Linked DNA regions of Drosophila melanogaster. The protein of the gene in region 4 interacts with the protein of the main gene of each other region in a pairwise test. Each region holds a gene or a part of one and is shown on either strand. Other genes may lie near its edges.

Evidence for each region.
Region 1: the proteins of P32 (region 4) and CG14418 interact in a two-hybrid assay, tested with the Drosophila melanogaster proteins (one large-scale study listed by BioGRID).
Region 2: the proteins of P32 (region 4) and Hakai interact in a two-hybrid assay, tested with the Drosophila melanogaster proteins (one large-scale study listed by BioGRID).
Region 3: the proteins of P32 (region 4) and fkh interact in a two-hybrid assay, tested with the Drosophila melanogaster proteins (one large-scale study listed by BioGRID).

Annotation. Positions count from the first base shown.
Region 1 is NC_004354.4:2,880,821-2,885,769, forward strand, and holds CG14418 (uncharacterized protein), read right to left. Parts: upstream 2,842-4,949; 5' UTR 2,814-2,841; coding exon 2,732-2,813; intron 2,648-2,731; coding exon 1,746-2,647; 3' UTR 1,406-1,745; downstream 1-1,405. Other genes in the region: CG14419 (uncharacterized protein), read right to left, coding at 4,464-4,949.
Region 2 is NT_033779.5:19,579,301-19,584,392, forward strand, and holds Hakai (hakai), read right to left. Parts: upstream 3,175-5,092; 5' UTR 3,071-3,174; coding exon 2,707-3,070; intron 2,604-2,706; coding exon 2,056-2,603; coding exon of another isoform or gene 2,032-2,055; exon of another isoform or gene 1,986-2,031; coding exon 1,476-1,985; 3' UTR 1,312-1,475; downstream 1-1,311. Other genes in the region: Pmvk (phosphomevalonate kinase), read right to left, coding at 158-653, 757-830; PCNA2 (proliferating cell nuclear antigen 2), read right to left, coding at 3,726-4,385, 4,520-4,627; CG10366 (uncharacterized protein), read left to right, coding at 5,046-5,092.
Region 3 is NT_033777.3:28,579,771-28,587,578, reverse strand, and holds fkh (fork head), read left to right. Parts: upstream 1-2,314; 5' UTR 2,315-3,025; coding exon 3,026-4,558; coding exon of another isoform or gene 4,559-5,104; 3' UTR 5,105-6,603; downstream 6,604-7,808. UniProt on the Drosophila melanogaster protein: Fkh promotes terminal as opposed to segmental development. In the absence of fkh, this developmental switch does not occur. The nuclear localization of the fkh protein suggest that fkh regulates the transcription of other, subordinate, genes.
Region 4 is NT_033778.4:17,669,908-17,674,732, reverse strand, and holds P32 (P32), read left to right. Parts: upstream 1-2,092; 5' UTR 2,093-2,198; coding exon 2,199-2,403; intron 2,404-2,523; coding exon 2,524-2,868; intron 2,869-2,926; coding exon 2,927-3,168; 3' UTR 3,169-3,424; downstream 3,425-4,825. Other genes in the region: Sema1b (semaphorin 1b), read left to right, coding at 1-161, 225-423; IBIN (induced by infection), read right to left, coding at 3,508-3,633; CG30109 (uncharacterized protein), read right to left, coding at 4,227-4,346, 4,405-4,551.

The DNA.
Region 1 (4,949 bases), on a different chromosome or scaffold from region 4:
AATGATTTATTTTCATCAGTTCAGGGGAAGATTGTGTTACTCAGCGGGGAATTGAAATGCTGATTCCAAAGCAAAGTTGTTTATCATACATAGCATAAAAGGGTATTTCATTTATAAGCAGCTCCCTTTCTCAAAGTTTTCTATTGCATTAGCCACAGTTTTTCTCCAAGTGTAAGTGCGCAAGCCGGGCAAGTGCAGCCATCCTTTCTACGCTCCGTTGTGTGCATACAAACAACAAAGGAAAATCAGCAACAGCAGTTGGTTGGGGGCGATGTCATAGTCCGCTCCCTAACCGCCCCACCCCCCTTTCCCATTGCCCACCTTAGCCAGTCCTTAAGCCACCCACCCCCCCCCTCACCATCCTCCACAACCCATCGTTTTGTGCACTGGATTTTTTTTCACTGCTGCTCTTTAACGTGTTTCAAAAGAAAGTTGGTTGACTTTTGAATGACTTTCTTGCCGCGCTTGGCTCACAGCACTCTCGCCCCCCCCACACACCTGCCACGCCCCTTCTGCACTGGCACGCCCGCTGCCGCCCAGAGCTCCCCGCTCGGCGCCCTCCGCCCCCCTCGTGTTGTTGTTTGTTTTATGTGTTAAGTGCGCTGGGCCCAAGCGCGCAAATTTCTTCGTGTAACTGATGCTGACGTTGACATCGCAGCCCCAAGCGACCCCTTCATTTTTACCCTCCGAAAAGCCCCAGAATTATATATATATCATATATATATTTATATATATATATAGCTCCTACGTACATACACATATATCTGAATGCAAGAGGGTGTGTGCGCACAGTCGAGTCGAAAATCTAGTTACAATTAAAGTGACAAGCTGGCAACGCCGAACACAAAGTCGGTCCCCAAATTCAAACAAACTGCGGTCGCTTTGATCGTCCTCATGCGGGAGTGATTAAAAAAATAAGAAACAAGGGGGAGATTTTATAAGATGTCTTTTAGAATGAATTCTGACATTTTAATATTAGTACTTGATTTGTATGGCGTAGTTATGCATAGTTATACGAATGCAAGTTCCCTGCCAGAAAGCATTTTATATTATATATGCTGATGCTGGTTATTCATTGCTGGAAAAGAGTTTATTTTCAAAACGAAAATCCGAAAATCACTTTCATGCTGATATGCGGGGCATGAATATTTTGCCAGCTTTTCCATTTTTCAAGGGTCTGTACATTTAAGGGAAATTGGAACTTTTACGGGTTTAATTACCAGAAGATTGGAATGTTTACACCACAACCCCTTTGCTATATGACATTCGATATTTGGATAAACAGTCTCGACTGTTGTAGAAATAATACTGACTATTTGTTTTTTTTTTTTTTTTTTTTGTGAAAAATAAACAACATATTTTCTGGAGTAATCTCCGGTTCATGCCACCCGCTGTTGCCTTGGATCAGATATAAGCATCCATTTCGATTCCAGTGAATTAAAGTTATTCTCGGACTTAAGCTGACCCCGTCCTAGCAACCTCCTAACCGCCCGACATCTCCTTCTCATCGTGGACTGCACTTGTTTTAATTACTGCCCCTGTGTTGATTCCCCAGGACCAAAAAGACCAACTCAAAGTGAATTTTCCATTTGGGGCTTTCGTTTGTAATGTTGCTTTCGTTTGTTGTTGTTGTTGTTGTTGCTTTATTCGTGGAGTTTGTGTGTTCAGAGGTCGTAGGTCGTAGATTGTGGGCCGTGGGCCGTTGGTCGTGGGCCGTGGCTAGCTTAACCCATTTCTTAACCCATTCAGATGTTGTCGTCGTGAAGGCGACGACGCTGCTGCTGCTGCTGTCGATTGATATTTCTGTTTGGACGGCGACGGCGTTGCTGTTGTTGCTGCTGACGGCGGTGTTGCTGCTGTCGCTGCTTGTTGTTGTTGTTGCTGTTGTTGTTGTTGAGGCGTCGCCTGTTGTTGTTGTTGTTGTTGCCAGGGCGACGACGTCTCTGCTGCTGGCGTTTCAGGTTGTTGTTGTTGTTGTTGCGGTTGCGACGACGACGCAAACTGTTGTTGCCATTGCCGTTGCCATTGCGTCGTCGCTGCTGCAACTTCTGTTGCTGCTGTCGCCGACGGCGTTGCTGCTGCAGCCTTTGCTGCTGCTGCTGCTGCTGCGGACGACGGCGACGTCGGCGATTGTTCTGCTGACCCCTGGGATGGTTTGACTGCACGGACTGGTGGTCTTGGTCCTGCTCCTGATCCTGGTCCTCAGCTGCATCCTGCTGCTGCTGCTCCTGTTGCATGTCCTGCGATTGCTGTTCGCCTTCGCCATCGGCATGATTTTTCTCAGTAGTAACCTCGACGCGATCATCCTTCAAGGGTTTGACCTCGCCCACGCGCACATTCTTCACCTGATCACAGGGCACATCGCTGTAGATCACCACGTTGCCATAGTTGCAGACAATCTGCTCCTGATCCGCCTGGCGACCCTCGATGGAGCCAATGGAGCCCCGTTTGTCCTCAATCTCGTAGATGTTGCCGGATTTGGTGATGAAACCGGTGACCTGCAGCGGCTTGCTGCCATTGCTTTTCGGAGCTGCTTCCGTGAGTTGCACTTTCTTTGGCGGAGCATTCACAATCATGGGCTTCGTGGGCTTGACCTCCATTTTGGGTGGAGCACTCGTGGAGCTCGTCAGCGGCGCCACCGTTTGACCTTTGGCATCACGGAAACAAAAAAAGGGGGGAGACACATTCATATACCTTCAAGTTGCAAGGAAAACAGGGCAAAAAAATTTACCGCTCACCAGCGAGAGGTCGCTGGAAAGGGCCGTGGCCCAAATCAGGACCAGGATCATCCCGAATCCCTTGCCGCACATCATTATCTTAGCTCTTGTTCGCTTCTCGATCGACTGAATCGCATTTCAAGCTGCGATCCCGGGTTATATTAACTCTGTGACTCTGTGGCTAACGGCATTTCGACCAGAATCATTTTTCGGCCTCTTTCGCTTTGGGATTTTTGCATAATTAAGTCTGCGAGTTCAAAGCGTGTCAGCCGGAGAATGGTTAGGAGCGACCCATTTAGCCAGGGCGTACACTGTACCAAAATCATAACTAGTTTATTGTGAAAAGAAACAAAAGCTATGCAATGCGTTCTACGGGGCTTTCTACGGTTCATGTACCAGTAATTTAATTAATACATATATTTTAATTGAAGACAAAGACAAAGTTATGCTAAGATGCTATGATTTCTTTCAGTTATCTAGTGTTAATTCCTACACCACTTCCGCCACTTTCCCCTCCCCAACGAGCAGAGTTCAATGGCTCAAACTAATTAGCATTCATATTTCTTCTTCGATTTTCGCCGCTGTCCAAAAATTCTCGTCTCTTTGCGCTTGGTTTTCTCATATGTTGATTATGCAAATTGCTTTCTTGGTCGGCAGCCCGCATTTTCAAATTGACCTCAAGCCAAAGCTGGCCAACAGCAAAAAGGTGTTCAACTATGCAGAAAAGCAAAAGAAAAAAAAATATAGAGAATAGTGAAGCGTGTTTACTCGAAGATCTAAGCAAGTCGAATTAAATACAAACATAATTTGTTGGGCTGGAAAGTTGTGTTTCGTGTTAATTTTTGATTTCCTCCGTGCGAACTGCCCGTGTAAAATTGGCTGTTACAGCGTTAGATATGTGGTTTTTTTTTTTAAAACGGGTCTGGTTTTATTTTGATTTAGCTCGAGCTTGGCGGCTGTGTGTTTTTTTTTAGAAATAATAATTAATCTTTATAAACGTGTTTGCCAAGCTAAGAAGTTAGGCGCGACTTGCGGTAGATACAACAAATAGTTTGGCTTAATCAGGGAAGCAAAAGCATACACAGATATGCATATGTATATATGTAATTTATGCTACGAAAAATTGACTTTCTCCTTCCGCAAAATATGAATAAAAAAAAAAAACTTTTCCCGTTTTCAACGATTTATTTTGACGTATGCAGTGCTAATGTACAGGCAAATAAAGCTAAAATCGATTACAAATCAAATTTGTTTGTACTTTCTACTATTTCGTTGCTTTACTCGTTGGAATAGAAACGATAAAAAAGGGAAAATCTAAACAAATTTGATTAGATTTATTCGATTTCATTCAGAAAGCTGCCGCGTCGGTTTTTCACGTGCTCATTTCATGTTTAAATCCATATTCAAAAATCTACGACAAAAATGAATACTTTTGTATCAGCGCATATTTTTGTTTGTTTTATACAGCATATGGGTTCATTAGTCTAGTACAAAACATAAGGTACGCTTTTAGTCGAATCGAGGTGGATAATACTATGCTAACTACTTCCTTACTTTTTTTAAGGAAACTGTTCTTAATCAGAGAATAGTATAGCATTTAAATTTACATTTTGATATTATAAAAATGAAGCAAGAACGTGTGCTTTTTATTTAAAGATCCATTTTATTGGCATACTTTTTGATAAATATTATAAAGTACACTAAAAACAAAGAAAAAAAATGTAAAAAAAAAGATTTATTGGCACATTAGTTCTTCTGCTTTTGGTTGTAGTTTTTCAAGGCCTCGGCCAGTTCCGATAGTGCCGATTTCTGGGCCTTCTCCTGCTTGCGCTCCTGCTGCTTCTTCAACTGCTTGCACAGTTTCTTCAACTGCTTGCGCTCCTTCTTTGCCGATTTCTTCTCGCCACTGTCGTCCTCTTCGGACGAGGAAGATCCACCCCGCTTCTTCCGGCGGCTCAACTCGGCACATTGTTGCAGCAGCTTGGCGGCCTCATCATCATCGGGCTTTGGAGTGGTGGTCGTAGTAGTGGTTGTGGTGGTGCTCGGGGTGGTGCTGGGAGTGGTGCTGGGAGTGGTGCTGGGAGTGGTGCTGGTGGTGGTGCTCGGGGTGGTGCTTGTGGTAGTCGTACTGGCAGTTGTGGACTCTGACTTGGGCTTTTCCGTTGTCGTCGTCGTAGTCGTAGTGGTTGTAGACGACTCTTTAGGCTTCGGAGTCGTCGTGGTGGTGGTGGT
Region 2 (5,092 bases), on a different chromosome or scaffold from region 4:
CACACAAGCTCTATTTCGTTACCAAGAGTATTTACTATTAGGTACGTAACTTCATTCTTGTCTAGTGTATTGCATTAACTACGCTATTTGTGACCGGAATACGTGATATATCAAAAATACATTTGTTCAAAGCATGGTGAGCCGAGAGGTCCAAGCTCTATCGATACTGCAGCTGCAGCCTATCCAGCAGAATGTCGATGGCCTCCTGGTCGAGTTCCTCGTCGTTGGCCAACACCACGTCGAAGCCGTCGGCCAGATCATCCAGATCGCACTCGGAGGGAACATCGTCTATTCCTGCGGTAAAGGTCCATCCCCGTGCAGACCGCGTTTCTGGACGGGATGTTAGACGCAAGGTGATGACTCGTTCCGGCCCGTAAGTCTCCCGGAACCACCTGATGTCGTTCTTGCGCCGCACATCGCTGACCAGAATGTAGGGCGTCTGCTGGCGACTCAGCGCCTCCTCCATGGCCACGCGGCAGAAGTAGCCGTAGTCCTGGGCCCGCACCTCGTCGCTCCACACAATCATGTCGCGCCGGTACTTCTCCTTGTAGGGTCCATCACCGAGGAGAGCGTCCAGGTCCAACTGCAGCTTGCGAGCCCATTCCGACTTAATGGGCTCTGAGATTCGAACGATACACGACCGGGAGCCCAATCTGGAATGGAATTGGATTTTATTTGTCTGAATATTTCTGCAGCAAGCAGTGCAAATTTAACAAATTGGCAAGATTTCTACGACTAGCTATGCACTGCACCCACCTCCGCTGCAGCCTCTCGGATATGTAATCCTTGCCGCACTTTCGCTTGCCGCTGATGAGTACAATTTTCATCATTTTTCTGGCGCAACTTTCACTTTTGCTCGCCAACTTCTTTCACAACCGCTGCTTCTCCTGCTGCTTCTGCTTGTGGCCTCGATTTCCTAAGTTCTACGCTGTGCTCATCAGATACTGGATGTGGTTGTGTTCACCCTGGGCCCTGCCACTTGACTCCGGCACTGCGGCCTGTTGTGTTTATGCTAATGCTCCATTCGAAGTCTGTGCTCCAAGTCGCATTTGTTTACCTTTTGTATTTCGCTGGAACAGCAACCAGCTGGAGCGTATCGTCATCGATAGGCGGCCAATCGAGCGGGCTTTTTGAATTTCATTCAGCTCGAGTGGAAACCGTACCGTCATCGATTGGCCGCCAATCGGGCGGGATTTTTGAATTTCGTTCAGCTTGAGAACCGCAAAGGTATTCATAAAATTGTTATCCTGATTTGTTCGCCACGATAACCACTTCACTACTACATTAAGAATTAAGTTTAGCCCAAGCTTTAAAACCGGAGTAGCATTTATTTTTTGGTTCGGGTTGGCCTAACCCCGTAAAATATCTTTAATAGTGTTCAGTTCAGCTTAACATACACTTGTTCACTTAATTAAAAGCCTGCGTGCCTGCGTTAAAGCGTCTACCCTGGTTACTAGCCCCTCGCTTTCGTCCCCCTATCTGTAGTATTGCGACTGCTGCCAGTTGCCACTCGAGCCACCAGTTGGCGCGTCGGTGGAGCCTCCAATCAGGGCACCTGGGCCAACAGCGGAATGGCTGCCACTCGGATTGGCGGGCTGTGCTGCTGCTGTTGCCCCACCGCCGGGTGGCCCAGAACCCGGATTCCCGGCCGCACTGCCAAAGGAGGCGAGCACGCTGCTGTAGTAGGAGGCATCCGCCACCGACTCGGACTGGTGGGGCGTGCCCTTCTTGAGCGTGTGGTGCAGCGAGGCCTTGCCCTGGTGACATTCCTGCGCATTGGCATTGTTGATCCTGGTCAAATTGGCCAGCGTGAGCGTCGAGTGGCCGCCGTGGATGGCGTTTTGGGCGGCGGCGGCGGATCCTGGTGGCGGTATACTACCAATACTACCGATGTTACCGACACCGCCGGTCAGTGGCAGCCGCGACAGGACGGGACGGGACGCAATGGAGGCGGAAACGGATATGGGGACAGACGACTCGGAGAGCTGCAAGGGGCAAGCGGTTGTTTTTTTATAGACAGGACAGCTTAGTTTAGGAGCCATAGCTACCACTCGCCTTGCGCTGCTTGTGCAACTCCAGGCCCAGACCGACGCCGCCCAGATCCGTCATTTTTGGCTGCTCCGCCATGGCTGACAGCTGCGGCTGTGGCTGCAACGGTGGCGGCTGCGGCGCCACATGTCTGTGATTGATGTGCGCCTGCAGGTCGCGTTGCGAAAGGTATGTTCTACGGCAGCCGGAGCTGCCGTAGCGACTGCCGCCGTGCGTGCACATGAACACGGTGCCCAGGCCACTCTGCTCCACGCGCAACACCTTGTCCGTGCAGCGGGGACAACTCTTGATGGGCTCGGCGCGGGCGCACTTGAGGCAAAATACATGCTTGCAGGGTATCATGCGGCCGTAGACGAGGATCGGCTTGTCGCACTGATCGCAGCAGTGGATCATCGGGTTCAGCACCTTCTCGCCGATCAGGCTCACCTTGTGGTTCCACTTAAGGCGCAGCATCGGCTCCGGCGGTCCGCGCGAAAGCGTGGTGAAAGTGGGCGCCTCCAGTTGCGATATGTCCGCCTCCATGTCGACTGCGCGGGCGAGAGATAGCGAGATAGCTTTGTTCAATGCTTCAAGTTTGGATACCAAGGAATTGGTCAAGCCAAGATGTTAATCAATTTAACTATCTTGGACAACCATTCAATAGGGGAGGAGACTCACTTGTTTGGCTCATCACGGGCGGTGGCACTTGCTGCAGGACCTGTGGCTGTTGCGTCGCTGGAGTCATGTTCCCGCTGGCGGCGACCGCTCCTAGCGCACCGTGCGGCAGGGGCTCCTCCAGAGCGCCGGGCGTTTCCAGTTCGCCGTCCTTGTCGAGCTCCTGCATGACCGAATCTTCGGAGGCGTCCAGTCTTCCCGGACTGTCCTCCAGGGCTGCACAGCTGCTGGCCGCCAGGGCTGCGGCGTCGGCGATGCTGCTGTCGTCGATTTTCTTGCCACGACCGCGTCCTCGGCCACGTCCGCGCCCGCGAGCCCTGGTGCCACGCCCTCGTCCGCGGCCGCGCTTCACTTCCTCGGTGTCCATTGTTCACTTGTACTTGCGTGGGATTTTATGCCGGTTTTTAAGTTTTTCGGTTTTTGTTTAGCTCCGCATTTGCGTTTGGCCAGGGTTGTCAGCTGTTCCCACATACGTGCAGTAACTTAGGGTGACCAGTCTGCGCCTAACAACACTGGCCATCAAAAGGTCCGGCATCACTGGTCAGTTTAAAATACAATATTTTTACTTGTTTAATTTTAATTTTATCTGTTTTTCAATTATTTTTAAACTAATTTGAATTTAATGAATGTAAAAAAAAACATAAAAAAAAACAATAATTATAAGCATCTATTTAACCGTTCTTGTATCATATTAATAGCTTACTAATTTCTTTTGTAGCTTCAACATGAAAAAACAAAAGTATTCTGAATAGAAAATGTGAGATCTACATTAAGATAACCTTAAAAACTTAATAATAATTAATAACAAGGTTTAAAATTAGTTTTTTCGTATATAAATTTGAATTTGTAAAATGTTTTTTTAATTACAATTAAATAGTTTTTATTACAAGTTATATTTTTATACTATGCTTTAAAAAAAATGATTTTTGGTATTTGTTGCCTAAAAATATCGTTTATCCCCTTTCCTTATGCTTTAAATTGCGCTCGAATTTATGCAATAACTGAGTTGAGTAGTTCTTCAGCTAGAAATCGGGGTCATTCACCTTGGGTGCAAGGTAGTATCGAATGTGGCCGTAATCCTCGATGGGATACTCCACCAGGAGTGGCCGCTCGTCGGACAGGTAGAGCTTGACGCGATCTGCCAGCGGAGTGGCCTTGGTGAAGGTGTTGAGGTAGCGACCGGCGAAGGACTGGGTCACGGGCTCCTGCACCTCAATGCTCACGTCCATGGCGGTGCCCGCACTCAGCTGAATGTTGGCCGTGCCCAGATCTCCCTTGGCCAAGAACCTGATGCCCTTCGAGGAGCAGGCGATCGTCAGGGACTCGTCGAACATGCTCATGTCCCGGCAAATGCGCGCGAACTCTGACGACGGCAACTGGATGAAGCAGGTGTAGTCCTTTTTCGGAATCTCCATGTGATCCTGGTCCAGATTGAGGAGCTTCAGCTCGTAGTCCGCCGTGCGCTCCTTGCCATCCGACTCGAAGCTGAGCGTAATCTTCTCCGGTCTGTCAACGGCCTTAATGGTGACCGCATCGTCGCTATTGGCGCACTTAAGCACCTTGCCCAGGGATTTCAGATCCAAGCCCAGCGAGACATTGCGATCGCAGTGAAACTTTTCAAAACAATCCGAAGCCAGACTTAGGGCCACCAGCGAAACGTGGGAGTTGTCCATCGATTGCAGCTGGAATATAGAGTTGTAAAAGCTTTATTTCTTATCTCAACTTTTCATTTTCAGTCCCAAGTCTCAATGGAACTACTTAACAGCTTTTATGGGAATTCGAAACAAAATGACAGATGGAGGGTTATTCTCTTCACCTCCAGACCATTTTCACTGCAGTCCAGCGTTCCCTGGGCGATGATTTCCTTTAGTGCATCGACGATCTTCTTCAGCAGCAAAGTCTGACTCAAACGCGCCTCGAGCATTTTTCCAATTTTCAAAATTGACAATCGCTGTCCCGTTAAATTCACAATTGGAAACAAACAAAATGAAGCCAGTCAGCTGTTTCGCTGCAAGTGTAGAGATGCCGGACTGCTGCGGAGTTAAGAACAAAGCTTGTTAGATTAGTTTCGGTTGCGGATTTAAGTTCATTTGATGTCTGATGATGAAGCTAGTGAACATAGATCTTAGAATTTGACTTAAAGCTGTAGGTTAATCCTTTTCTATTTAAGGGTATCCAATTGAAATCACTTAATCCGACTGATCTGGCAGCATCTGCAACACTGGTTCCGGCTCCAGTTCTAGTTCGAGATCCAGTTCCAGCTCGGATCCAGCCATCCAATCCAATATGTTTACGCTTTATTTATTTATTTGTTTATTTATAACCAACTGCTGAGCTCCCCGATGGCCGCCGCGCAGGTGGAGATGCACGCTGCTCCGGCGGCTCCCCA
Region 3 (7,808 bases), on a different chromosome or scaffold from region 4:
CACGGCGCATGCGTCACATAAATGCTTAAAACAAACAGAAAGCGCAGCATTTTAAAGCCATATCAACGAAAATCAAAACAAAGCGGCAAAAAAGTAGTAAAGCAAATATTTTCCATAAATAACCATTTGGGGATGCGTTGGGCGCCAACAATTGAAACTAATTAAAAAGTTTGACCATGGCTTAGAGCCGAATACATCCGACTGTATCAAAAAGGCAGCCAATCTGAATCCGAATCGCAATGTAAATCGCCATGTGAATCCGACCTACAGTGGCGCGCTTTTAAAGCAAATAAATAAATAGATAAATGACTAAAGGTAAATAAGTACACATTTTTGGACTGCCTGGCATTACTATTTGCAGAGAGTCTACGCCAAAAAAGCACACATTTGATGCGCTCTGAACAACAAAAATACCTACCAACCCAACGCCCACACGGCAAACATTAATGAGCCAAAGCCACTTGAATTGCCTGTGAAATACAATAAAAATATTAAATATTTAAGCACATTACGGTTATTAGAAGTGCACATAAGGATTTGAGTACATATGTGCTCAGTCACCGAAAGTGTTTGATGTTTAATGATCATCACGATGGGATATAGATATCCGAGTGGCAAGCCAAACAATGTTAAACAGGTTAAATATTATGAATACCATTGTTGAGCGAAAGATTTTTTCCTGATTCAGTTTCGCTTATCTCTCAATCTTATCTAACCCATGGTTATTGTAAACAATTATTCAAACAATTTGAAGATAATCTTGAATATGATAAAAATATTACTCAGTAGTGCTTTTGTGAAGGGGAAACGGCTCTATATGACATAAGTCATTAGTCATTATAATTACTCGGAAATGGGGCGATCATAAAAATGTGATTTCTCCCACAAGCGAAATGTTTCATTACATTTCATTGATAATTTCAAAAATTCAATGTCTCAGCGCCTAGATGAAGGCTACAAAAAAGTGAGAGGAGAAAGAACTGCTGCATTGACAAATGGAAAAGTAATGCGGAAATTCCCCGCTTTTCCTCCCGCTCAGGTAGATCTTAATTGAGCAAAACATTCATTGAGAAACGAGACAATCGTCCTTTTATGACACGCAATAATGAGCCTGGCTCACACACATACACTCTCACGGATTGGCACACACTCGCACACGGACACACACACACAGGCACTCGCAGATACACTTGGCCAAGCGAAAGGGTTAAGCGGAATAGGAAAGGCGTCTATGGTTTATGGCCCGAAATTAGAATGCGTTTTATCCGGGACCATAAACGTGGATAAATTGCCAGGATACCAGGAAGTAGCTGCCAGCACGCGCTATCAATGAACTGTGGATGCTTATGTTTCGGGTATCTTAGGTAGGATGCAGTGGGATGCTCGGATGAGATGCGGCTGATGCTGGCCAGATGCAGAACTGGGTCACTTTCGCAATGACTTGCCAAAAAGGTGAACTGCGCCGCTGTTCTGATGATTTGCTGCTGCCGCTCGCGATGCCTCGCCACGAATGCGAATGGGAATGAATGAGAGTGACATTGGCATACCTTAACCTCAAAAGGGAAAAAGCGGTACGGATACGAAAAAAAACTGGCTGAAAAAACACACACAGATATTATTAAATGTCTTGTTTGGGAGCCAAACCCAGCCAAGCCAAGCCAGGCCAGGCCAGGCCAAAACACTCGGTCTTTTTGTTTCTCTCGAAAAACAGAGCGTCGTCGCATTCTCAGTCTCCCCAGAGATTCGGTCTCCAGAACCCGTCTTAATGGTTTTTTTTCCACATTTTTTCTTTTTATTTTCTGATAGCACGCTACGGCGAGAAGGAGAGCGAGCGATTATTGATCGCATTAGGGAAAATCGTTAACTGTAACATGGCGTCGCTCAGCATTAGGCTAGGCCACTGCGAATGTATCTGCAGCTGTATGCGTATCCGGTATCTCTGCCCGTGTATCTCTGTCCGCACCGCTGAGGGTGTGTGAGTGGAGGGCGTTGCTGACTGCGGCCTGGCCACGCCCCCCCAATGGCCAGTTGCCTGGCAACCGGCCCTGCTCTGTTGATACAAGAGGCCAACCGACCAATGCGCTTGCGCCGCAGCACCACTGTGTACGTAAGAGAACCGCCGCCTGTCATTGGTAACTCCGCCAGGGTGGTGGTGAGACGCACTATACCGCCGGGCCATTGGCGAGAACGAGTCGGAGCTGGTGCTGCCCGGGCGCGTCGCTGCTGCCGCTGCCGCCGCTGTCGACGCCGACGTCGGCCGAGGCACTTGAGCGCGGCTCGAACAATATTTGTTGGCAGCAAGCGCAAGCCAAATAGTAGACAAGCGTTCCCCTCTGCAAACAGTCACATTCAAGAGCTCAAGCCAAAGAGACACTCGAGCGGACCAGCAGCTAAAGCGGCAACGGCAACAGCAGCATCAGCCAAAGCAGCAAAAGCAAAAGCAGCAGCAGCAAAAGCAGCAGCACAGCACAGCACAACTCCCAGCTTCAGACTTCAGTGGCCAACAGCCAGCTAGATATTCACGTTCGTGCGTCGGTGTTTTGTGGCCGCTCGGTGCGGCAGACAACAAAAATCCCCATACAAAAATACAAAGAAAATACAAAAAGAATCGAATCATAACAGAAAATAAATATATATTTTATATGATTATCCCGCACAAATAATTAAACCACGGTGTGTGTTTACAAACAAAGCTTAGAATCAGAATCAGAATCGCAAACGGAATCAGAACCTTCCAGCCAACAAGTGACAAGTGCCGAAGTGCTCTCGATAAAATGCCAGATATATGCAAACCGATTGAAGCAGTGATAGTGCACTGAAATCACAGTTGATATACAATATATCAGAGTAAAGCCACGTTTTAAAGACCTCCTTTTTGATTTTCGTTTTAACTAACGCGTTGCAGAACGCGTTGCCTTTTCCATCGATCCACCAGAGGGCAGCGCCTCCGAAAGCCGGCAACATAACGGCGCAACTATTGAACAGCTTTCTGAAGGGTAGCCCCCACCAGACCACCATTGACATCATGCAGAAGCTCTACGCGGAGCCGCCTCCGAGCAGTGCTCCGGTGAGCATGGCCAGCTCGGGTGGCGGTGGTCCTCCGTCGGGCGGCGGTGGAGGCGGCGGCGGAGGAGGAGGCGGTGGGCCCCCACCGCCCAGCAATAACAACCCGAATCCGACGAGCAACGGCGGCAGCATGAGTCCCCTGGCTCGATCCGCCTACACAATGAACAGCATGGGCCTGCCGGTGGGTGGCATGTCATCGGTTTCCCCTCAGGCGGCGGCCACATTCAGCTCCAGCGTCCTGGACTCGGCGGCGGCGGTCGCCAGCATGAGCGCCAGCATGAGTGCCAGTATGAGCGCCAGCATGAATGCCAGCATGAACGGCAGCATGGGTGCGGCGGCCATGAACTCAATGGGCGGCAACTGCATGACCCCCAGCTCGATGAGCTACGCCAGCATGGGATCACCGCTCGGGAACATGGGTGGCTGCATGGCCATGTCGGCAGCGAGTATGTCGGCGGCGGGATTGAGCGGCACCTATGGCGCCATGCCGCCGGGATCCCGGGAAATGGAGACGGGATCGCCGAATTCCCTAGGCAGATCGCGGGTGGACAAACCAACTACGTACAGAAGGAGCTACACGCATGCCAAGCCGCCATACAGCTACATCTCACTGATCACCATGGCCATTCAGAATAACCCCACCAGAATGTTGACGCTCTCGGAGATCTATCAGTTCATCATGGATCTGTTTCCGTTCTACAGGCAGAATCAGCAGCGCTGGCAGAACTCCATTCGACATTCGCTGAGCTTCAACGATTGCTTCGTAAAGATTCCCAGGACGCCGGACAAGCCAGGAAAGGGATCGTTTTGGACTCTGCATCCGGATTCGGGGAATATGTTCGAGAACGGGTGCTATTTGCGGCGACAGAAGCGTTTCAAGGACGAGAAGAAGGAGGCCATTAGGCAGCTGCACAAGAGTCCGTCGCACAGCAGCCTGGAGGCCACCAGTCCGGGCAAGAAGGATCACGAGGACTCGCACCACATGCACCACCACCACCACAGCCGGCTGGACCATCATCAGCACCACAAGGAGGCGGGCGGAGCATCGATCGCCGGCGTAAATGTCCTGAGTGCAGCGCACAGCAAGGACGCGGAGGCCCTGGCCATGTTGCATGCCAATGCCGAACTGTGCCTCAGCCAGCAGCCGCAGCATGTGCCCACACATCACCACCATCAGCACCACCAGTTGCAGCAGGAGGAGCTGTCGGCGATGATGGCCAATCGGTGCCATCCGTCGCTGATCACCGACTACCACTCGTCGATGCATCCGCTGAAGCAGGAGCCCTCTGGCTACACGCCCTCCAGCCATCCGTTCTCCATCAACCGCCTGCTGCCCACGGAGTCCAAGGCGGACATCAAGATGTACGACATGAGCCAGTACGCCGGCTACAACGCCCTCAGTCCGCTGACCAACTCACACGCTGCCTTAGGCCAGGACTCCTACTACCAGAGTCTTGGCTACCATGCGCCCGCCGGAACCACGAGCTTGTGACATCACCAATACCCGCTGGCTTAAGGACGCGCGGAGCAGATGCTGCGCTCGCAGCAGCAACAGCACTTGCAGCAGCAGCACCAGCAACACCAGCAGCAACAGCAGCAGCACCAGCTGCATCAGCAGCAGCAGCAGATGCAGCAGTCGGCGCAGCAACTGACATCCGCTTCCAATACACCAGCAACATCAGCAAAGGCCAGCGGCAAGGCGGGATCGGCTTCGGCCTCGGGATCTGGGTCAGGATCGGGTTCAGGATCGGGCTCTAACTACTCACAGAAGCTGCAACAGCAGCACCAGCAGCAGCAACAACAGCAGGCGGCGGCGCAGCAGCAACACCACCAGCAGCAGCAACAACTGCTGCAGGAACTGCAGGAGGACTCATCGAACATCACCAGCGATCTGAGCGAGGAGCAACTGCAGCAGCATCAGGCCGCCCAGCAGCAGTTGTACAACAACTATCAGCAGTATGCCGCGGCGGCAGGCTACAGAAATTGGAATCACGGCCTGGCTTTCAATGGAGCCGCCGCTCTGCAGAATCTTCTGTAGCTATAGCTATAGATCCCGATCTCCACAGGCAGCGGCTTTGTAGCGGGCCTGCCAATTAGCGAGTGCAGTGGCGGTGGCTTTTAGCACCTGGCCGCATCCGCATCCGCACTCGCATCCTCATCCTTTGAGCACGTGAGTCTTGGGCCGCAACTCGCACTTGTACATATAGAGATACCTATGAAGAGCCGATCGAGAGCGCTGCCTTTTGTGTTGTTCAGTTCCAGTACTATATATTGTAGATTATATAGATTCTGTTCCGGGGGGTTATTAAATCGACATAGAGCAGGAGGAGGAGGAGCGAAAGAAACCGTGATGTAGTTGTAAGTGCAGCAGAACTTTTGTTAACAATTTTACGTTTTGCTAATACAAATACAAAATAATAATTCCGTGCCATTTGTTTTCGTTGTTTCGAAACAAGCAATAACAATCAAAGCGGTTATAACTGAAAATTTGAAATCACATTTTAAATGTATCCGATTAAGGAGAAGATTGAGGAGAGGAGATGTAAAGAAGGGATCGTGTGTAATGTTCTTTCATAAAACAAAGCCCCAAATGAAACAGTCCCAAAAAGAGAGATACAAATACTAAACCCTTTATCCAAAGGCAATCGCAATCGAATTCGAATCGCAAAAGATCAAAACCAAAAAGAAATCTAAAACCGAAATCATCATATTGAGCAGTCCAGCAAAACCCTAAGAATCTTCAACTATCTAAGCAACAAAATCTGGCCATGCATAAGAAAACGACACGTTTTAACTGAATAATTTAACAAATTTCCATTTATATATACGCGCATCGATATACGCCCATGTATCGCAAAATCCCGCATTTCATTTACATTATGTGTCTTCTGTTGTTGTACGAATTCGTTAGATTAAGGCATTTTGTAAATAATCTATAAATAGATACATTTAAGCAACCCCCTCCCCAAGAAACCCAATTTAACTAAGGACCCATTGCAAGCAACCAATTTTTAACTAACTCGAGAATTAATCAAATTGTATGAAATTATGCCACACCACTTGAAAGTAAACATAGTATAAATATAAATACTGTATAGCATTTAACGTTTAATTAGCATAAATAATGAAAGCAAAAAACAAAAATGAAAAAAAATCACATAAAAAGCGAAACTGCAATTATTATTCAATAATTTTTAATATTAGTTATATTGTGCGTAATGAAAAATAAAAAACCAATTGCAAACACAAAACAAAGACCCATTTTTACATTGAGCTAAGCTAATTAATTAAACTTGATAAAAAATAGTCTAAATATAAACACCCACACACACACACACATACTGACACTGACAGACACAGAAACAAATGAAAATTATTGTAAAATACACAATATAAAATTCAATAAATGTCAACGCAAGAATTAAAATCCAACTCTAAAGCTAGTAAAATTAATATTATTATAAATCATGCAAAACAAACACAACGTCAACGACAACCAAAATCGACTATTTTAATGTTTGAAATACAAGAAAAAGGAAAAAAAGTACCATAAATTAGTTTTCATTTCCCAACCTTTGTTGACTCAAGCAACTGACCTCCAACAATCATTTATATATTGATTGGGCCGCCCGGATGGCTGACTATCTCCATCGACGCTATCGACGCTATCAATGCAGCGAATTCGAATTGAACGACCGATAGCTGAGCTGAGTAGTTCCAGGAGTCGCTATCTTATCGCCGTCACTCAGATGCAGAGTGCAGTTTTCCACCACTACCATGCCACGATAAACCCTTATCGCCGTGCACTCATAAATTGCAACGGAACAAGAAGGTAAACAAACAACCAGGATGGGACATGGGACCCATCCCAGCCCATCCCATACCGTCCTATACCGACCCATTCCCGCCCGGACTTGACACACTGACTAACCCATCTCAGTCCAGCACAACCCAGCCCGATCCCTCTGGCCAAAAAGAGCGGGAAGGGTAGTGGATATCTTCTGCCCGACTTGACTCGACTCCCCTCTGTTTGCTTTCTAGTAATATTCATGGAGCACTACGAGCCGAGTTCGAGCACCTTCCCTATCGCTGCAATGGACCTTATCGCTGCAATATAACCCAACAGAGCCTGATCCGACGCAGTTCCCCCTGGCGAACTACTACCACCTTTTGATTAAAATCGGTGTGATTCATTTGGAAGAATCTACGATCCAGGTCCTACGATTCTCGGACATTCCGAAGACATTAAAATTATTGCTTATCTAGAGCTCGGGCATGAGCGTGTTTGACGAGCAGTTGTCGCTTTTAATTAAGCGAGAAGGTCACCATTTTCTATATGTCCATACGACACATTTTATTTATATGTATGTACATGTGTGCCTGTGGGGGCGACTGGACTGGCTTTAATACATTTTTTATAGCCTCCAAGCCGACTGGAGATGTTCCATAAAGAGTTCGCTTTGTTGTTTAGCTAGGGTCGTGCCGTCGACGGTATTGGATTGTATTGGACTGAAAATGGGTACGGCGGATAGGGGATAGGGGATTGGGGACTGTGGGATTGGGGACTGTGGGATTGGGGGACCTGGCGTATGGGCGACTTGGTCTGGGTCTCGGTCTCCAGCAAAAGCGACAACAAAATGGCGCTTCGTTTGTTGTCGCTTCAATTTCGATTTTTCCTTGACATTGTGACTGTCAGCGTTCTGGCGGAGTTTCTTCATTTTACCCCGGCTGGCAAACAACCC
Region 4 (4,825 bases):
ATCAAATATGCTTCAACGCCCAGCTTCATGCTACTTACAACTATCGTTTTCTTTACCTTCCTTGTGGGTGGAATCGCAGGAATATGCTGTGTGAAGGCTAAGAGCCGCCTGATGGAGGCCCAAATGGATGAAAGTCACCGCAATCATTTCGGCAAGCCAATGTAAGTTTTATCTTGGAAGATGCAAATCCATATTGGACAATTCTAATTAAATGGTTTTGACAGGCAATTTAAACATCAAAATACTGGCAAAGACATCAACCTGTTAATGGGCTCCAATGCCTATACGACCACACAAAAAACACCTAATCTGGATTTAGAAAAGGATCGCAGTCATGAGTGCAAAAACTCCACGGAACATTTGGAAAAAGAGCTGCCCTGCAAAACGTCAACGCTGACAAAAGTGAAACGCACTTACATCTAGTGGCCTTGTGAGGGCAGCCAACTGCAAAATTAGTCGAATTTCTATACTCTAAAACATATTTTCGTTGTTTATGTTGCTGTTAGTTATAGTAACCCCCCACCCAATTTGCGAATAATGTAAACGACAGTCTCGGATGCGTTTGAAACGCATCCGAAAGATAGGAAGCAGAGCTGTTGCGTCTTTTTTACTTAGCTTGTATTGTAATTTAATTTGATGTAAAATTTGCGTAAGCTTAGTTTCTTTGTCAAAATTTAGTTAAATTTATTGACAACGTAGTGTGCGGGCTGCCGCAGCCTGGAGCTAACCCGAAGCATTCCGCATTCCCCTGACGTCGACCTTTGCTGTCCAAAATAGGAGTGCCGGCTCTTGGCTACGCAGCCCGATTGTGTCGCCCCTTATGTGTACTCTTAATGTATAATCTTTAAGTGCAAATATTAGAGCTGTACAAATTTAATCACATATCATGCATACCGAAATCGAACCCGAAGCGGACCAGCCCCAATTATTTCTCGAAATTCAATCGAATATTCAACAAGTATTTTGTTAGACTGAATGATTAATTATTCTATATGAGTTTGTTTTGTGGAGAACTAACAGAATGCGACAGAGACTTTAAAGCTCTATGCTTTGTGGCTAACAAAAGCGTAAAATTGTATCTAACATAAGCTCTATAAGGAATTGAACATAGAATGTAATTAAAAGTACGAACTAGGCTAAGAAACGAAGAAAACTTCTATGAGGCTGTTTGATAAGAACTGACACCGCAGCCCCCACATCATCAGATGGAAAAACGCACAAGAAAGCGAAAATAAATGAACACTGCAACAACAGCAAGCCTTATAAATAGTATAAAATCGTGTCGAATCTAGGCCTTAACGCTAAACTTGTAAGCTTTGGATGGAAATAATGAGCTTGGTTGGCAATCAACGTAAATCAGCATTTTAATAATTTTATGTTTAATTTCTAAGCTGTTGTCCGTCCCACTAAAGAAGTTGCATAAATACAATGTACAATGGCAATTTTATTTTTAAAACGTGTAAAATGCAATTTTCATCGTAATTAATATATTTTTATACGTATATGTACGCCTAATGTCTAAATCTTAACATAAGAAAGTCTTAAAAATGGAAAATCCCGATAAAAGCTATATATAAAATATTTTTAAATCTTACAAAAAAAAACGTAATGTAATGATTTCTCATATTGTGATAGATTTTATTGAAATTTTAGAAAGATGAAATGATATGCCTTTTGGTTGAAAAACAATGATATATATGACGAACGAGTCTGATTGCATGCATGATAATATTGCGTAGGAATGGGTCTTCCACTCGGAGGATCAAGAACCAGAGAAAACCCTTCATGGTGTTTAGTTTTTATTACTGTGTATGTCCTTGTAATGTGTATATTGTTGTATACATCCGATAAGCAATTCGTAAATCTAATAAAGTCGTCATTTTTTTCATAACTCAATGTGGTCTTTTAATAGGTTCGGATCTATGAAACATTGAATTTTTACAGCAAATATGGTTTGGTTATATTTATTGAAATCAATCATTTTTCCAATAAAGGCTAATTTCAAAATTTGAATAGTTTACGATAAAGCCTTTCGCGCCGAAAAATGATCGATAACTTCTGATATGGCTCTACAATACATCAGCCTCGTGATTTTCTGAATAAGATTCAACGGTCACACCAGGCACTACACTTTTGGCGTGTTGCACATTTCAGTGTTTAATTAAAGTAAAAAGCCCAGGTCGCGGTTATATAACAAAATGAACAGCCTAAGGACAGCAACCATGCGATTTGCCGCTCTGGCCAGCTCCAGTGCCGGATCTCTCGGCAAGCGCGATTTCACCCGCAGCCTGTGGCACATGACCAAAAAGCCGGTGACAGCCGGAGGATCCGATCATGTAACCGTGTTGAATCTCCACAAGCCCAGCATTAATTGCACGTGCGGCTGCAACGTGCACACCAAATGTAAGTTAACTCAACAAATTCTTACATGGGCGGTCCATGCCGCCGGTTACATAACCTCAAACGTTGGGTGACGAAATGTTGACCAAAACACAGAAAATTAAACGCTTTGTTTATATCCAGGTGAGCGGGAACTGGTGGAGTTCCTCACCGAGGAGATAGTGGCCGAGCGCAAGGTTCAAAAGGGCAAGACGGTGCCAAGCACCCTGGATGGATTCGCCGTAAAACTGACCGGCGCCGATGTGGAGCTCACCAAGCAGACGGATAAGGAAAAGGTGGTGGTCAGCTTCAATGTGAACCATACGGTGGACAGCGAGGAGGAGCCCGAAATCAACCCCAATGCTGACAAGCCGGATCTCGGTGAAATGAGAAGCAAGCCCCAGTTCGAGGTGGACATCATAAAGGGCAACTCTACGCTGTCCTTTACCTGCAGCTTCCTTCAAGGCGAAGCTCAGGAGGGCGAGTACAGTGAGTACTTTGACAGAAATCGTTTTGATTCACCGATAACACAGGTTTTACCTTTCAGACGATGTCTTCTCCATTGATGAAATGGCCATCTTCGAGGGCGAGTGGAACGATAAGGTCTACGCCGTCGCAGGCGACGTGCTTGACGGTTACTTGTACGACTTGCTGATCAACTTGCTGGAGGAGAAGGGCATCAGTCAGGAGTTTGCCGAAAAACTGTCGGACCTAGCCACTGCCCATGAGCACACTTCCTACATTGGTCTGCTGGAAAAGCTCTCCAAATTCACTGCCGGTGGCAAGTGAATGTTCGTCCCACTTAATCTTAAAGCATAAAGTTGTGTAGGTTTTTAAGTTTCTATTGTCTGCTGTCGCAGTTTCATCACCTAAAACAGTTTTTATTAGTTGTGTTTTTGGTTTAACTGTGACAGTGAAACTTAGTTTTTAAGCCATAAAACATTCATACATGTTTCAGATAAAACTATAGAAACGGTTGCCAATAATTCACCCTTTTCGGCATCAGCTTCGCTTTGGTTTTTAACAAATACAACGTTAATTCCCTAGTTTTTTTTTTTGTTTATTTTCTTTCTATGGTTGCATCGATTTTTCGTAAAGATTTTCCTGTGGGTTGAGTTTCGTGATCATTTAGAACTGCCGGAAATATGGCCTGGGATCGTAGTCACTTGGTCGGTATCCTCCCCAGTCCTCGTGGTTCTTGCAGGCGGCGCAGATGAGGAGAGCGAGGAGCACGAGGATTGGCAGCAGTTGCATCTTGATTAACGGCAAGTTAACTTTAGATTGTGGTGCTGCAGCTTTTAATGCTCCTCTTTATAGGTGAGATTGCCTCACCTTATCGTTGAAATAGTGACCTTTCTCTTGGGGAAGTACTCCGATCTGTTTATTGGGCGATGGGATTTACCATTAATGTACGACCTATATGTGTTATTGTTTCACAATAAGCAGGATTATCAGCGTGGAGGCCATGTAATGTCATACTTTGTCATTAAGATGGATTTTATATATTTCGTTAAAAAGCTTTTTTTTATACGACCAATAATAAGAACTGCGACCATTACCTAATCATAGGCTTGTATATACTTCTAAGAAACTCAAAGACGGATTCTGTCTGAATATAACATTTTTTATAGTTCGCTACTTGAACTTATTTATAAAACATTCACTAAATAATTTACATAAGGATACGAGTCATGGAACTAAACCAAAGCTGCTTCTGGTACTTGGTAGACCTAGGCTGTTCCTCCACTCTGGTGTCGGCGCTGATTACCGGTGAGGTCATTGTGTCCCGGGTTCTGGCCCACTGTGGATTCAATGCCGTTGCCAGGATGCTGGAGCTGCGTAACGGGTCAACTTTTTGTCTTGGGTTGCGTCTTTCCGCCGGAACTACTCGCATTGTCGTACTCCGAGCCGGTGCAGTACTCAGATCCGACCTCCCGCAGCTCAATCTTTTGCTCCCTCATGGCGCGCTAAAGGTCAAAGATTGGGTCAACCAGCTGGATGATGAAACTTGAAACCTGGGCTTACCTTGACGCACTCCTGATAGACCCGGAAAATCGGCGCGCAGCCCGAGTCATCCGTCTGGCCCTTAAGGAAGCCTTCCGAGAACCAGCTGTTGAAGCAGGCGTCGTACTGCTTCTTTAGCTCATTGCAATCCTCGCCAATGCTGTTCATTTGTGGAGTGAAGCTCTTTGAGTTTCAGTTATAATTTCTCTATTGAATAATAAGTCGAAAAAAATGTGAGAATGGTTTGTGTGAGGGTCATACTACAGATAAGCTATCAGAGATGTGGGACACAGCATATCGATGTACGTTTCGTTGAAACTGAACGTGCTATCGAAATTTGAATTTTCAATTCTTTAAGAACATCTAATTTATTTTAATAAAGGCACTCTGGTTATAACGAAATCAGTTGTCCATGTTTCATGATGATACTATTAACAGTCAA